Daphnia pulex: one gene and its partner. The protein of the gene in region 2 purifies or fractionates together with the protein of the main gene of each other region. This does not show direct contact. Links are inferred from orthologs where the notes say so. Each region holds a gene or a part of one and is shown on either strand. Other genes may lie near its edges. The genes, in order: serine/threonine-protein phosphatase PP1-beta catalytic subunit and protein phosphatase 1 regulatory subunit 12A-like.

Region 1 (8,378 bases), on a different chromosome or scaffold from region 2:
CGCAATTTCCCATAAGATTTTCTCGCTCGCGCTTGCGCGTTCCCAAACTTCGGGTAGGTAGTAACCTGAACACCTTGGTCTTTTTTTTTATATAAAAAAAAATATTTCGGCATTTTTTTCTTAATTCTTATAAATGAACTTTGTAAAACAATTAATTCTACATATAATGGGAAGTCTTCAAAGTTAAAAACAAAAAATATACATTGAACTGGGCTTTAGAAAAAGAGCTGTGTTCGGATTTTTTTGTAGGATACCGTACTGTAAATAATTAGAAAAGAGCGACCTGCCTCCAGGCCTTTTAGCCCCATTCTTCCCTACTTCTGCTCCCCCAAAAAAACCCGCCGCCACAGTTCACAGGGGCCTTAAGGGACTACGTTTTTCTTTATTTTATTATTGCATGAAAGACATTTGTGTTTATTTGAAATAAATATGTGTTAATCTTTAAGACCTGCTCTATTTTTTAATATTTTTTTGTCGTCGATCGCGTTAGTGTAAGCTTTGGAAAAAAATCAAAAAGAATTGGAGGGAAAGCGCACCTCTATTTCTAGTAGAAGTGCAGCCATTGCAAGAAACTCGCGCTATTTCACTCGCTATCACAAATGCAGCGACGCAAATGTTCATCAAAGTCATAACTCATAAGTCATCAAATGGATCATCCGCCACAGCAAGTCGTTCCGCAAATCAATAACACAATGCTTAACCACAATTTTGGCTTCTGGTTCTAGAGAAGATATAAGGGTTTTAACAAAAAATGGAGCAGACCTTGTCTGTGCTCTATCAAGCAAGATGAATGTTGTTCATAATCTAGAAGATGGACTAAGTTCACGGTGCACTCACAATCTCGAAAATCTTGCTACATCATTAAAAGTAAGCATCGTTCCTGAAGATATGGCGCTCTTCTTCCTCGAGTTTGTCTTTGATGAAAATGATATTTCGCTACTCCACCGCGTGGATCTTTTTCTATATCGGTTCTTTATCATTCTGCTCGAACCGAAGCCCTTCGTTTATCAATCACCAAGAAAATGCACAAAGTGGCGCAAATTTCGACTGAAAAAATTTACCATCTCTTCAACGAGCCATCTTAACGTGCGCAACGGTTTTGGTACAGTTTTGGAAGGAAACTGTCATGGCAGACTGTTTTCACATCCCTCTTCAAGATATTGTTGCTGTCTGCCTACACATCACATGTAACGTGCTGGACTTCATCGACTAAAATTGACACAACTGCGGGCACGTGTTGGCACCAAATTTCCAATCAATTCATAACGATTTGCTCATCCAGTTGCATTCCCAGCACGTCGCGTCCCATCTACGTCGAGTTCTGTCGTCAAGAGCCATGGCCAAGTCAAAAGTGTGGAAAGTATAGGGGACTATCTGCGGCCTCGCTTTTTGGGAATTCTATTTCATTTGGACAGCGTCCTTCTCTCCAAGATAATCTCAGACAAGATCAAGATTAATGCGACGATTTACCGTGTTTTCCCTCGTGTTTTCCTTATCTCTCATTTATTCCTCAGTACTATCACGCTGTGCAAGTCGCAACTTTCTTGTTGAAGGACATGAAAAACAATCACAACACGACGCAAATATACATTCAATTGGTATCTCTCTCGGAATTGCCCGAACTTTCTTCGGTTACAGGTGTATTAGATGAGTCCGAAGACCTTCCGTTCGTTCTTCAGCTCTGAATTTTATACGTACCAAAGCTAATAAAAAAGATAGTCAAAATAAAATTATATTTTATTAAATTGTGTTTTTTTTTTGTGGGATCTGGTGCTTTTTAATAAAGTGATGCATCCTCTTATTGAACAAAAAAAGATTAAAAATATACGCGTGACGAAATTAATTATTTTTTAGTTATTCTCATTGCCTTGTAAAATAGTGTAATAAACTATTTTTTTTTTAATTCAATTTTGATGAAATCGAAACCTTTTCAAACTTTCCGCCAACTTTCTTATATGCTTCATTTATCGCCAGATGGCACTTACCAGATTTTTGTCGTCTGCTTGTCTCGTGGTGCCCAAAAATTTCGACACAGGGCAAGACGGCAAGTTACTTAGTTATTGAATTGAATGGTTCAAGTTACCTAGTTTCTTTCAAAAATATTTCAAATAAAAGAAAAACAAATTACAACAAGAAAATGGAGAGTGGTAGTACAAATGGTAATGCAAAAACCCCGGATGACAACAAACAAAATGGACCTGGGTCACAAAAGACAAAGAAGAAAAACAACTCCAAAGGAAAATTACACCCAAGTCGAGTTAAAGCAAGTGCCATTGAGCAACACGAAATCAAGAATTTGCAAATTCGCTATACATCAGTGGAAACATCAGCTGTACTAAAATTTAAAGATATTCCGCTTTCCAAGAAAACCTTGCAAGGTCTGCAGCAGAACGAGTACACCACGCCAACCGAAGTCCAAAAAGAGAGTATTGTTCTTGCCCTAAGAGGTCTAGATGTATTGGGAGCTGCCAAAACCGGTAGTGGAAAAACCCTTGCCTTTGTGATACCTGTTCTTGAAAGACTGTACTGCATGCAATGGACTCGACTAGATGGTCTTGGTGCCCTAATTATAACCCCAACTCGAGAATTGGCATACCAGATATTTGAGACTTTCAGGAAGGTTGGAATCCAGCATGATTTTTCTGCTGGTCTCATCATTGGAGGCAAAGACCTTAATTTTGAAAGGAAACGATTAGACCAATGTAACATCATGATTTGCACCCCTGGAAGAGTCCTTCATCACATGGATGAAAATCCTCTCTTTGACTGCTCCAACCTACAGATATTGGTTATTGACGAGGCTGATCGTTGTTTGGATCTGGGATTCCAGCAAACGATGAACGGTATCATTGAAAATTTACCCCCAAAGAGGCAAACTCTGCTGTTTTCCGCCACACAAACCAAGTATTTAATATGATAACATTCATCGTTTAGAATTTACGCTCACCTTTTTATATCTTATGTAAATTACAGATCAGTCAAAGATCTCGCTCGTCTCAGTTTAAAGGACCCCGTTTACGTTTCTGTTCACGAAAACGCTCAATACTCCACACCCGAGTCTTTGCGTCAAAGCTACATCATTACTCCCATTCAAAACAAAGTCGACATTTTATGGTCTTTTCTTAGGAGTCATAGGAAGAAGAAACTGATTGTCTTTTTGACTTCTTGCAAACAGGTAATTTGTTGAAAAATTTGCCGTTGATTATCAAACTAACTTGAACATTGCCTTTTAATTAGGTTCGATTTATTCATCAAGCTTTTACTCGTCTGCGACCTGGTCTTTCTGTATTGGCTTTGTATGGTACCATGCACCAGATGAAACGCATGTCAGTCTACGAAGAGTTTTGCGAGAAGCAAACTGCCGTCCTGTTCGCCACAGACATTGCCGCTCGAGGACTCGATTTTCCTAATGTTGATTGGGTAATTCAAATGGATTGTCCGGACGACCCAAGTAGCTACATCCACCGAGCCGGTCGTACTGCTCGTTATCAGAAAGGAGGGGAATCGTTGCTGATGCTGCTGCCCTCAGAAGAAGCCATGGTTGAGCAGTTGGCCCAGAAAAAGATCCCCATTCAGAAAATTGAAGTCAATCCTTCGAAATTGGTTTCCATTCAGCGGAAACTCGAAGCCATGCTCGCTCGTGATGTTGAATTGAAACAAATGGCCCAACGGGCTTTTGTTACTTATGCCAAATCAGTTTTCCTTATGAAAGACAAGTCGATTTTTGATGTCACTAGTATCGATTTGAATGCTTTAGCTCGGTCTTTGGGGCTCGCTCTTGCTCCACGCGTCCGTTTCCTACAAAAACATCTCAAGGCAACAGAATCGGCTGCGCCTCCACAAGCTCCTCGAATGTTGAAACCAAACTATGACACCCCAGCCGAGAAGCCTATTGCCGCTCAATCGACTGAGCAGCAATGGAGAAGAAACGACCTGGAAGCAGCTTACGATTTCCACGCAGAAGACGAATTACAGGATTCCGATAGCGATGACGGCATTTTCAAAATCAAGCGGCAAAATCACGCTCTCCCCGGATTCGAAGAAGCCGAGGAGGAGGAGGTTGAAATTGGTGTTGAGAAAAAGAAGAAGGAAAAGATCTTGACCAAGGAGAAAGTTGCCAAACGAATCCTTGCTAAAAAGCTGAAGGCCAATAAAATTGTCAACTTTGACGACGAAGGAAATGTAATACCCATTTTTTACAGAATGATCCCATTTCGTGTTGTTGTATAATTTATTGTTGTTTATTTTGCAGAGAATTTATGACGCATCTCGCGAGAAAGTTTCCGAGCTTGGCCGAGCTCTCGAAATTGAAGCTTCGACATCGATTACTGGTGGCATCAATTTGGTTGAAGCCAAAAAGGCGATGGAAGAAGAGGATAAATACGACAAAGAAATCTTCCGTCAGCGTATTAAAGCCAAACATCGCGAAGATCGACTCAAAGCCAAAGCAGAGCGTAGACTTGCCAACCGGGTAGAGAAGGAAGAAGAAGTAACGAATGTCGAAGGTGAGGAGGAGGACGAAGAGTCTGAAGGTGACGAGAGTGTCGATGGTTCAGTCGGAGAAATTATAGACGCTTTACCCGATCCCGATCGCATCTACGGCGCCAAGGAAGATGATAGCGAAGAAGAAGGTGAGGTTTACAGAGGGCCAGCTGTTGCAAAGTAAGAAATCTCCCATTTAATTTTCGTTTGTTCCAATAAAGTAATTCTGTCTTTATTTAGGAAACGCTCGCGATTGCCGAGCGAGAGTGAAGAAGATGACGACAGTGAAGATGATAGTGAAAGTGACAATGACGAAGCACCTGTCAAGCCTACCCCGATTACAAGGTACAAACATTTGGCTGAAACCAAGTTGGAATTCTATTAATTCTTTCTCATAATTAGGAAACGGCGACAACCGAGTGAAAGCGAAGAACTTCCCACACCTACAAAGACGAAACAAAAATGGATCAAGAAGAAGCCACCTAAGAAACAGAAACCAGCTAAGAACAGTAAATTTGACACTGGCCTGGATTTGGCTATGGACGAAGAGTTGGCTCTTCACATTCTTGGCTCTAAAAATTAAAGAAAGACTGCCTCGTTGTCCATATGAAATACACAGTCAGCTTAATGGATTGAGAACTTTGACATTAACGCGGCTTGTCGACTGAATCTTTTCCGACGTAATTGTAAACTGTTTCATTGCGTCATACAAGGAAAGCATGTTCAAGTTTGCTGATATCATGTTGGTTTATTTGTTTGATTTACAGAGGATATACACTAAATGAAGGGAGAAAGAGATGTGGTAAGTAACGAGGAAAAAAATGAAGACGCTGACGAAGCATGCGAAGGAGTAACGTTGTCCTCCAAATTGTGTGACGAGGGCAACAGAAATAGTAGTTGTAAGAATTTGTTAAAAAGGGGAAATTGGGCATTGATGGCTCCCACCACATTCCGGTTGAAAGGTTAAGTCGATCAAATAATTCAATAGGATTAAGCTTACAATAACTCTTACTAACTATTACTTCTTCTTGGGCACTGGTTTGTTGGCAGCTGCGTTCGGCTTCGTGGCGTTGATACCAGAATACTGGTATTTTGCTTTCTTCTCCGAGGGTTTCAAAATCTAACGAATTTGGAAAAATTTTAAATTTGAGTTACAAATATTAAACATTCAATAGAAATACCTGAAAAGAGCACATAAGTGTTTCATCAACGCTCATCATGCCGCCCGCGTTGTCAAACTCCCCGCAGTAATTTGGCGCAGAAAAGAGAGTAACCAGTTGACGTTTGGCAAAAAATTCGTAACCATCTTCTACGACCTGATGAGCTCTGCAAATCAAGTCAAGGTCATGGCGATTCAAAAATTTGCTGACAACATCAGCTCCGAAAGTGAAGGAAACGCCGCGGTCATTTTCAGACCATCCTTGCACGTCTTTATCAGGGTCGGACCACAGCAGGTCACAAAGAAGGCCTGAATGTAAAACAAATCAGCCACATATGATGTTATATATATTTCAGGTGTAAAAGCCAAGTCGAAGTTTACCAGTGTCAGGTACATCAGTCGGCCTCATAATACGTTTGATTTGGTCCATGTTTTGTAGGTCGGGACTTAAGCCGCCGTGACAACAAAATATTTTCTCGTCAATTATGGCGGCGATAGGAAGACAATTAAAACAATCGGTGAAAGTCTTCCACAGTTTAATGTTGTACCGCCGTTTGCCTAAGATAAAGCAGAATACATCACTCTAAAAAATGGCCATTTAGAAAACGATAGTTACTTACATTCATCATAAAAGCCATAAATTCTGTTGATGGATGCACATTCGTGATTTCCTCTTAATAAGAAGAAATTTTCAGGGTACTTGATTTTATAAGCAAGTAGAAGGCAAATGGTTTCCAAGGACTGTTTTCCGCGATCCACGTAATCGCCAAGAAATAAATAATTTGCTTCAGGGGGGAAACCTCCATACTCAAACAATCTTAGCAAATCTGTATACTGGCCATGAATATCACCTGAAAATACCAAACAGAAAATATAATTTACTACCTCTTTGGAAGTCCCAAGTAAAAAAAATAAGAATGAAATTTGTTAAAATTAGTGCATACCACAAATTTTCAGGGGTGCTTCTAGCTCAAGGAGTATTGGCTGTTGAAGGAAAATCTCTCTGGATTTTAAACACAAGCCCCTAACTTCAGCCTCTGTCATCTGCACAGACTTCCCAGGCCGGCATCCTCTCACTGTTACAAAACACATAAAAAAAAATGGTTAGTGATTAACAATTTGATTTACAGGTAATCACATGACAATTTCATTTTTAGGGCAAGGAACAAGGCTGTGGGTATGTGATATAAATACTCTAATCAAGTTGTATAGAACCTTAAATTATTACCATTGAATGAGACCATTTAGTTTCATTTAAATATAAATAAGAAGATGGGGAAATATTGGTTTCAAGAATTTGTTTAGCGTCACAAAATTGCCAACGTAATCATTATTTTCGAAATTGAAAATTGAAGCCCTTTGCAGTTCTACACCAAAAAAGTAGTCTAAGAAGCTATTGAACGCATAAAAGATGTATCAATGAGACCACTTAGTTCCTAGCTTTCAGACTGCTCTATTAGTTTTAATCAAAATTTTTAATTCATAATGACTTACCTTCTAACAATCGAGAAATAATACTGTCAACATTAAGGTCGTCCGCCATCATCGAAAAGTCAGACGGGATTAAAATAGTTGTGCAGCACCATCTGGATGTAAACACCTGAACTTGAGACATGGCTTTCGTCTGCTAGGGAAACTAGGGCTCGCGTTGCAAGCGTTGGCCTTCGGCTAAGTGACAGAGCTATCTTGGAAGAATTTTGGAATTAGGCAGTCTTGTTCTTGTGCTTCATTTTCTTGTCGTTATTTTTTATTTTACTCTGTAATTTTTTATTTTATTGTACTCTGTATACTCTTCTACTTTTTTAAAACACTGACCATAAAAAAAAAAAAAGAACGACGTTGCATTTATAAATTTTCATTTCGACAAAAATAAACAAATAAGGAAGAAGGACAAATTAACATTTTTAGCGGAAGTAAAATAAGCTTTTTGTCTGGGAATTCCAAACCTGGTCGGTATATACCTCATTTCTCGAAGTTTGGTGATACTTGATGAATACACTTTTCTGCCGTGTAATCAACCTCAGCTTCGGTGGTGAATCGCCCAATTCCAAATCGAATAGAAGAATGCGCCAAATCTTCTTCAGCGCCAATGGTCCGCAAAATATATGAAAGTTCCAGCAATGCTGAGGTGCAAGTACTTCCGCTTGAGAGTGCCACGTCTTACGTAATAAAAAGAATTAGTTAAAATGAAAGGTAGTGGAAGTTGCCTTTATATAAAGTTACCTTTCAGGGCCATGAAAAGACTTTCTCCCTCGACGTAGGCGAAAGAAAGGTTTACACAACCTGGGTAGGAGTGTTCAGGATCTCAATTTCGTACGACATGTGTTAAACTATTACCAATCTGATCGATCAAGCGTTGCGATAGTTTACTAATCTGGCATGATTATACTAAAACATGGTTTTGATCAATTAGTTATGTATGGATACTACTATGACATGAACTAAAACCTTAAGTTCTTGCTGAGCTACTTCACATGCTGCGCCAAAACCAACTGTCACTCTGTCAGTGGAGTAGGAACTGTTCCACCACGTATCCCTCATTCCTGACCACCTCCACTTTGCAGAGCTTCAATCCTAACCCGTGGTCGGCCTATCACGTAAAGAGCACCAACACCTTTTGTTCAAGTTCAAGAAAAGAATGATGCGAAAAAAGAGTGAATTACATCGAAATAACAATCATATATTAAATTGTAAAATACCTTTATAAATCAATTGACATCGATTCAACATCAATTGG
Region 2 (8,378 bases):
TGGATCGTTGCTGGGGTAGCAGCTGCCGCATTCTCCTTTGTCGTCTCCTTCATTTCTGTGTGTGTTTGTTGACACAAGAAATAGAAACGGGAAATGTGTCAGGCAAACAGGACAGACAAAGTAAAAAAAAAAAAAAAAACAGGAAAAAAGATGAATTGCTTCATTCTTTTTGTTGTTGTTGTTGTTACCTTCTTCCTGGGCTTTGGAGCGACGCAGCGGGATCGTGATGACAGTGTCGGCCGTTATTGATGTGATGGTCGATGAGGCATTCACACCGCCTCCTCCGTTGTTCTTACTCCGTGAATCTTCCAATGAGAACTAGACGACAATTGTTCAAGGATTAAAACTTTGTGACACAACAAAATTCGACTGGGGTAAAAAACAAAAAAGTGTCCATGCGGTGGAGATTGGATTGTAAAAGGGGATAATCGACGGCCAAAATCAACAGAAGACAATTCCCGACCTCCCCTAGCTCACGCCTTATAATGTAGCCAACCTTGTTCTTATTGTTATCGTTGATGCACAATCTCCAGGATGGCCGCCGTTCCAGTTCGGATTTCGAATCGGTAGATTCGGTAGCATCGGGGGTGACCGACGCAGGTATTGATGTCTGCCCCACAAACAAAGCAAAGTCTGATTAGTTTCCCCCCAGACTTTGATTCATTTCAGTTCACACACTCCTGGGATTCAACTCCTGCAATGTTTGGTGTTAAGAAAGAGGATGAGGGACAACTTACGGTTTCGGCCTGTTTCTTCTTGGCTAGCTGTTCGGCCGTTTTGACCTCTTCCAGCGTGACGCCCTGCGTGGAACGCCTGGTTTCACGGACCCGCTTGGCGTGTGCCTTTCGCTGCGTCTCTGACTCTTCGTCGCGTACTGGAGGAACAAATGACCTAATCATCACAGAAAACAATTTCTTAATCAAAGCTGTCAGACATGAGCATTTTCCCCACCCAAAAAACAAACATCCAAAAATCGACACAACACAAAAAGGGCCAATCAAGCCGAGCCCTTCGCGTTTCCATCACAGCACAAACACAACACACGCGCGGATTAATACACGAAAATGTTCAGTCGCTGTGTCCATTCCGTTAAAGAGGACAACAAGGGGGGATTAAGGACTTAATTCAACGTTGTGTTTTTGTTCGCAGGCAGACAGAGGATTATTGTCGTCAGGATCCAACGACATATCTAAAGAGCTAAAAGGAGCTTTTCGGTTCCAGCCAAAACATTATTTAAGGCTATGCAGTATGTCGGTTGAATTGTGTTAAACAAAACAATCATCTTCAATCGTTTTGGGGGCACAAGTCAAAGAACAAAGAAGAAGAGAAGAAGAAGAAAAAAAGAGATCCAAGAACACAAACTTGAAGAAATTCTTGATAATTGTTCCGGGACTTAGTTTGACGTTGGTGAGCGATGAGGTCGCTGTAGTGGTCACAACCGTGTTGGCCGACGGGCTAACAGTATTTGAGAGAAATCATCGAGAGAAATTACAAATAAGAAGACCATAACAAGATCCCAAAAGAAAAGAAAGAAAACAAAATAAATAAATAATAAAAAAATAAAATAAGGAAGAAATGAAATTGGGCAGGGCACAATAATTGACTCCTTATTTTGAGGTGAACGTTGGAATGGACTTGATGTAATCGTTTGAACTAAAGGATAATAATAATTTTCCAAATTGCCATTGTACCTGCGTATGGGCTGATTGGCCGAACTCGGCACGTTGGGCTGCGATAGGACCAAAGTGGCCGTTGTCGTCTGCTCGACGGGGCATTCTGTTCCCAACCGACTACAAAATGGCACGAAAACGACAACAAATTTCAAAAAATTAGTATACTCAATCGAAATAACGAACTGAAGAAGAGAAGAAAAGAAATAAACAAACATCATTCTATCTCAAACTACCGTGCGGATCAAGAGAGTGAAAAGAGTTAGAAAAAAAGGAGTGTTTGGCAAGGGTGCTGGGCCGTCCAGCGTGATACCTTTTCACCCGTAGAACGACTGGTTCAAGGTCGTCGTCAGGTTGTAGGGTTTGTTCGACTCGGCTTCGGTTATTGGTTGAATGAATAGTGTTAGTACTAGTGGGGCCTCCACCATTGACATCCTCCCCAACGCTGTTGCTGCCGCCGCTCACGATCGGAGTGAGCGACGAGGCTGCCAGCAATGGCAAGGAATTGGCCTTGATCCGTCGCCGCAGTTCCAGCAGCCGCGAATAAAATCTACGGCGCGAGCACGGACACATACACACAAACACATACACGACCATGCGCGTTCAATGTGTGATGGAAAAACCCGTTTTTGTTAATCAAATGGTTTCGTTTGTTTTAATGAGTTAAGTGCTGGAATATTATCGGTGCAAGGGTTAAAATAAAGTCATTGTTTGCACAGACAAACACCCACAATCCTTACCGTTCGTCGGACTCGAAACTATGGGCTCTCCGTAGTGTGACTTCCGTATCGGTAGACAAGGCGGAGGTGGACGAGGAGATGGATGAGGCGGTTGAGGCGAGGTTGGACGAAGTGGTAGAAGAAGATTGAGGGGTGGCGGAGGAAGAAGACGTGACGGCCGCTACAGGGGTTAAAGGCTGAGAGATGGACCGGTTCAATCCTTCTCGCTCCGATTTGACCGGAGTGTGGTTCAATGTTCCACTGCCGTTGGCAGCATTGGCTGATGGAAAATATTAGAAATTAAAACACGAAACATTTCCAAGTTGCATGAGCGTTTGCCTACCAGCTTGCCTCGACCGGAAAGAACCAGGTCTTCTCCAAGAAGGAACATCCTCCTCGGTTTCAATCATTTGACCCGATTGCTGTGATGGAGACGAAGGCAGGTTGTCCACATCAGTGGCCGGTGGAGGTGGTGGACGTGAAGGGGGTCCGCTTGACGAAGTCTTTTTTTAAAATAAAAACCAGAAAATTAATATCAGAATCCGAGCTGAAATTAGACAAGGAAACGATTACCACTCTAGGAGAATTATCTTTCGTTGAAGTCGGGACGGATGTGGTGGTTGTGGCAGGGGTTGTGGCAGGTTTGGCTCGTTCATCAAAGGACTCCTGGACGGCAAGAGGGGCCACGGGCGAGGATAGTTCGCCACTGCTGTTCTCTTTTTCCTCGTCGACCATGATGACGGCACCGGGAACCTTATCCGTGATTTTGGACGAAGCCTGGATGGCAGCTTTCTCCGTTTGCGGGGTACGGGTGACCGACGATCTAACAATAGTCCCAAGCAAACAAACGCAGGAAATATAAACAAACAGTCCAGGGCGAGAGACAATTGCAAGAATGTCGTTAAAAAATCTCACCGTCTCTTGGGTGGTGACTGGTTCCTTGCGTTGCCTCGATTATTGTACACTTCTGGCCGCTCTCGTAAAATGATGGCCTGACGCTTCTTGCATTCTTCCAGTAACCGGATGATGTCAGGATCGGCCACATCAAAGCAAGTCTGACCCTAAACGAATGGACATACACAATAAATGAAGAGAATTCGGGTTTTAGATGCCACACTGTTGGCGTGCTGGATCGTACCACGTAATTGCGGACCTCCATGTCCGCCATGTTTTCGCACAAGAGTTGACATGCTTCACGCTGTCCCCAATGGGCAGCCGCATGTAATGGTGTCCAGCCGTCAATGTCTTGAATGTTCAGCTCGCCTCCGCCCTGAACGAGCATGCTCATCACGCGGATGTAACCTTTGGCTGAAGCGACATGGAGCGGAGTAGCGCCGGTTCTAGGGTGCGGCTGGAGCAGTCGAGCTGATGCCGGGTCTCCTTCCAGCCACCGACTAGTGTCAGCAAGCATTTGTCGTTCCTCTTGGCTCCTAGCAGCATCGCAGTCAATGCCTGTTGATCATAAATCCATAGTAGTGTCGTGTGAAAAGTGAGCTCAAGTGTTATTGTTTTTGTTATTACCTCGCAACTGTGTTTCTCGTTCAAGCAACTCTTCCATGGCTTCTGTTTCAGCAATATCAATAGGGAGTTCACCGTCATTGTTTACAGCAGCAACATCTGACTTGTTCTCAATCAGGTACCTAATTCATAATTCCAAACAGCTGTTGTTTAGCATTGTGCGAGCATCAAAACTAGTCATGTTAAGTACCTGGCAATTGATAAAAATCCACAAGAGGCTGTGGCGTGCAGAGGAGTCCAGCCTTCATGATCTCCACGATTGATGTCAGCTCCATGCTCCACCAAAAACTCCACCATATCCAAATTGTCATCGATGCAGGCCTGTATGAAGAAAACAACCCTCAAAGTCAGACGACTGGCGTAAATGGTTTGTTGACAGGGCCAAAACAAAACTGACCTGATGCAGCGCAGTTAAACCATCAACATTGGGGGTGTCTATGTCAGCTCCTTGCCGTATGAGTTTGAGTACTTCTTCTTTGTCACCGGCAGCACAAGCGGAGAGAAATACACATCCATCTGAGAATTGGATTCTCCTTGAAACCACACGAGCTGAGGCAGGTTCCTTGTTTGTCTCTGATTCCTCCCACCTTCTCAGTTGTTCAGCCCTCTTAAACAGGGCTGAATTTGTTCTTGACTCCATGTTTTTGGCGGCGTTTCAACGCAACCGTAAGCCACTGTAGAATGCAACCCGGGCACTTTCCGATCCCTTGAAGGGAATGTGACTCTCCTCAGAGATCGGAGGAGAGCGAAAGAAGGCACAGGACAACACAAGGGAGTGGAAGACGGGAGGTGCCAATTGCTATTGTATAAACACGTCGGGGAAGGCACACACTGTATCTAAATCCTTTCCCGGCCGGCGATATCTGACTATCCTTTACGCGGCTTCTTCTATTGATAGAAGACCGCAGTCTGGATATTTCGCCCCCACCAAATTGGCACGAGTTTCGTCTAGTTACAACACACAGACACACATGAATGGATGGAGATGGGGAAGAGACTCGATTCTGCCTCAAGCAGACGTCGCCATCTTGGCCTCTTTTTTTCAGTTTTTTTTTTTTTGTTTTTATTTTTAGACTTTTCCCCCATGGAACTAAGAATCAACGGTACACTCGCCACAGATTTTACCATCATGCTATTCTGGAAATTCTCCCAGGTGGCGCTGACTATTCACAAGAGGGTGAAGACTAAAGAGCTCTCGTGTTATATGTTAAGATGTTACGAATATTTTATCTAGCACAATGAGATCTTTTCGTCGGATCCCGAAATTCGACGAATTGTTCCCATAAAACAAAAACATTTATGAATGACACATACAATTTTTTAATTCACTCCATCGAAATGTTTATAAAAGGGCCCAACTATGGACAACTAGCGCCTCCCATGCGGCAGTTCTATCGATTCAGGAAATTTTTTCGATAATCTCGCCACCTTTACTTAACATTTGGTGCTTTCACCAGCGTTGCCAAGTCGCTACGTGCAGAGCAAGACAAGACGCTTTTTTTTCTTCACCATTTTCCATTTACATTCGGATCCCGGGAACCGACCGTATGTGCACCGGCACTCACGCACACTTGACCCAACGGCCCGTTCTTGGGCATCACGAACAGTCATGACTTCACTTTCCATCCCACAAAAAAAAATAGAAAATAAAAATACGATGCAGGACAACAGCCGGTGAGCCAATCCATTTCCAAATAAAACTCATCTTCAAAGTTTCTCTCTTCCTTCTCCCTTTCCCCTTTTTTGTTGCCTCCTATCCGCATTTCCCAAATGTGGATTCCGATCCATCACGCGGCCAAGTAGAGGGAGAAAAGGGAAAAGAAAACAAGTTTTTGATCGATAACTGAATGATTTTTTTTTCCCATAAGGGAATCGGAGATGAAAGATGTAGAAATGGTTTTAAACTCCTAAAATGCTATCTGCGCTATTAGATGGCAGTTGATGTCAGTATAAATAATGAAAAAACCTTTTCCAGGTTTCTACTTTTGATGGTTTAGCAATCGACGGCTACCCGATTGTTCGATTGCCATAAATTATTTGAATAACATTGATTTTGTAGACGAAGCGGTAATGGAATTCTTTTGGATCGACAAGTTCGTTTTAAATTTCCTAATGCATAATTCAAAGACAAGAGGAAGAACCCAAGATAAGAAAAATTGATATTCGAGCGTTGCCAAATTCTTATTGGATATTCCCATCCTCCTGTTGCGTCTTGTTATTGCTCTTTACCCGTCTTGCTCTGACAGCGGGAAACAAAAGCAGACCGCTCCTCCATCACTCAAATAGTCAAATGTTTAGATAGAAAGACATCTTAATTATTTATTCTTACCCTATAATCGTGGCGCCGAATCGTGTTTTCGTGTGTTGTTCCCAGTTTCACATAAAAATGACCAACATTGGCCCATCCTGAAAAGTAAACATTTACATATACTTTGAGTTGTTTTCCGGCTATAGAGTGACGTTTGTTTTCTTGTGTGTGAACGTTCAAGGTTCGTCGAATGGGACAAGCGTCACTATGGGTATACTGATTTCCTGCTATGATTCATGCTGCAGGCCAAAGATTGCCAATGGAGAATCCATCAACCCTTATGCATCGGTAAACCTATTTTGAGCCTTTCTACCTGTGTCAACACTTAATCATAAAATGCTGCAAATCAATTTTTTTTGCAGGCTTACAGAAGACAGTCGGAACAAGATGTTTTGAGGGAGAGGCAAATGCGAGATGAAGTCTGTGGCCTGCTTGTTCCATCCCCATCAAAGTGCAGTACTGCTAGAAATGCACCTATCATAAAAAAACCAGAAAAAGGAATGATGTATTATTCATGCACCACCTACGAATTTGTGAAGTAGTTTCTTATCTCTGCTCAAAGATTACCTTTAATTCTCAACCATGTCCTTCTCCATGTGTCACTGCAGGTAATCTGTGATTATTTCCTTGTGCTTTTTTCCATGAAAACATGACAAGTTGTATAAACCATTTGACAGAAATCCACATTTCAGAAGGAAACAAGAATAACCGTGTACTTTTTTTGTATTATAATGAATGATAGAAGCAAGGCAAAAGGTAGTAGCATAAATTTCTGTTTAAAAACACAAAAGAAAAGTTCCAATGTGAAATGGAAGTGTGCATATTACATGTGATTCGCGGGAGGGGTTTTCCAGATGGCGCTGGACGTGCGCTTGTTAAAACGGGCACGTTTAATCTTAAATATATCGTTCAGGTCAGGATCTTGAAGGAGTATGTCTCCGGGGAAAATTTGGGCGGTATCAATATTTGCTTCCGTTTGCTGCGCTAACGCCACTTTAATATTGAAACCTAAATAATTGAATAATAATTTGTTGTTAGTGATGAACAACAAAGTTAAGCAACTTTGTAACTTACTTCTAGCCCAAGAAGGAATAGATTTTTTGGGCCTGGAATCATCGTCGGTAGAGTCATCTGAGCGCATATCACCGATATCATAGTTGTCGGGATTGAAAAGTCTCCCCTTCTTGGTCACGCGCACCTAAAAAAAAAAAAAAGCGAAAATTCGATGCATTTAAACGCAATCCCAAAAAATTCAAGAATATGGTCATTTGCATACTGGCGTGATCTGGTAGTTTGCAGTGAGAGACGAAGGCAGCGTGACGGTAGTGTTCAACGTGAAAGGTCCTGGGACTGGCACAGCAACGGCGGCGGCAGCTTTGGCTTTTTCAACCTCAGCTTGCCTGAGAATTCAAACACGTTTGGCATAAAATACTTGAAACGTTAGAGCAAAAACACATTTGACTTTCAAACCTCAACTTGGCTTGCTTTTCTTGTTCCTCCTGTTCCTTCTTAACGGCTTGCAAACGAAGTTGTTCTTCCTCCTAAGAAATTAACATTCGAAATCAGTCCATCAGCATTTATATGAATCCGCAAGGAAAATAAATTTACCCATTCCTGTTGCTTTTGTAGTTCTTCGGCCTTGCGGCGCTGTTCGGCTTCTTGTTGTCTTTGCAGAAGAGCTATCCGGACGCTGTACAAGGAGAATTGGATTAATTTAATTTAACTTTCTCTTCGTCACTCAAACACCAACGCCTTACCGTTCTGCCTTCTCTTGGTTCTCAGCTTGTATTTTCTGCTTCAAGTGGGCACTCTTTTCTTCTTTGTTCTCAAGTTTTTGTTTCTGTTCTTCTTTGTGTTGTTTAGTGATTAGGGTGCGCTGCGCCAAGGCACGTTTCGCTCGAGACTCGTGTTTCCTGGATAAGAAATACGAAACAATGAATAGGAACATCAGCTGAGGTGACGAACAAGGTAAATAAAATGGACGCACCGTTTTTGTTCCTCGGCCTTGGCTTTCAAATACTCTTCACGCTTGCGAGCAGCCTCCTCTTCTTTTTCCTTCAACCGCTTGAGTTCCAATTCCTTGCGCTTGAGCCCGTCCTCTTCGGTGGCTTTAGTAGGCATTGGAACTGGCTTAGTACCCGTAAACGTGCCGATACCTGTGAC

The links.
Region 1: the proteins of protein phosphatase 1 regulatory subunit 12A-like (region 2) and serine/threonine-protein phosphatase PP1-beta catalytic subunit purify together in Drosophila melanogaster (affinity purification with mass spectrometry; 3 studies listed by BioGRID, with this or other methods). This does not show direct contact. The link is inferred for Daphnia pulex from reciprocal best matches to the Drosophila melanogaster genes Mbs and flw.

The regions. Positions count from the first base shown.
Region 1 is NC_060021.1:5,447,543-5,455,920, forward strand, and holds serine/threonine-protein phosphatase PP1-beta catalytic subunit, read right to left. Parts: upstream 7,275-8,378; 5' UTR 7,257-7,274; coding exon 7,136-7,256; intron 7,073-7,135; exon of another isoform or gene 6,886-7,072; coding exon of another isoform or gene 6,870-6,885; intron 6,718-6,869; coding exon 6,586-6,717; intron 6,493-6,585; coding exon 6,262-6,492; intron 6,200-6,261; coding exon 6,023-6,199; intron 5,951-6,022; coding exon 5,664-5,950; intron 5,603-5,663; coding exon 5,501-5,602; 3' UTR 5,211-5,500; downstream 1-5,210. Other genes in the region: probable ATP-dependent RNA helicase DDX10, read left to right, coding at 2,138-2,904, 2,974-3,175, 3,238-4,182, 4,253-4,662, 4,723-4,827, 4,885-5,065. UniProt on the Drosophila melanogaster protein: Required for cell adhesion in non-muscle tissues and in maintenance of muscle attachment. Vital for larval development.
Region 2 is NC_060023.1:10,245,624-10,254,001, forward strand, and holds the start of protein phosphatase 1 regulatory subunit 12A-like, read right to left. Parts: upstream 4,971-8,378; 5' UTR 4,548-4,970; coding exon 4,305-4,547; intron 4,229-4,304; coding exon 4,098-4,228; intron 4,030-4,097; coding exon 3,911-4,029; intron 3,842-3,910; coding exon 3,528-3,841; intron 3,451-3,527; coding exon 3,305-3,450; intron 3,213-3,304; coding exon 2,963-3,212; intron 2,893-2,962; coding exon 2,733-2,892; intron 2,670-2,732; coding exon 2,411-2,669; intron 2,221-2,410; coding exon 1,984-2,220; intron 1,791-1,983; coding exon 1,692-1,790; intron 1,456-1,691; coding exon 1,363-1,455; intron 892-1,362; coding exon 738-891; intron 611-737; coding exon 497-610; intron 319-496; coding exon 189-318; intron 56-188; coding exon 1-55. Other genes in the region: inner centromere protein-like, read right to left, coding at 7,039-7,223, 7,290-7,413, 7,492-7,615, 7,686-7,756, 7,824-7,905, 7,973-8,128, 8,203-8,378.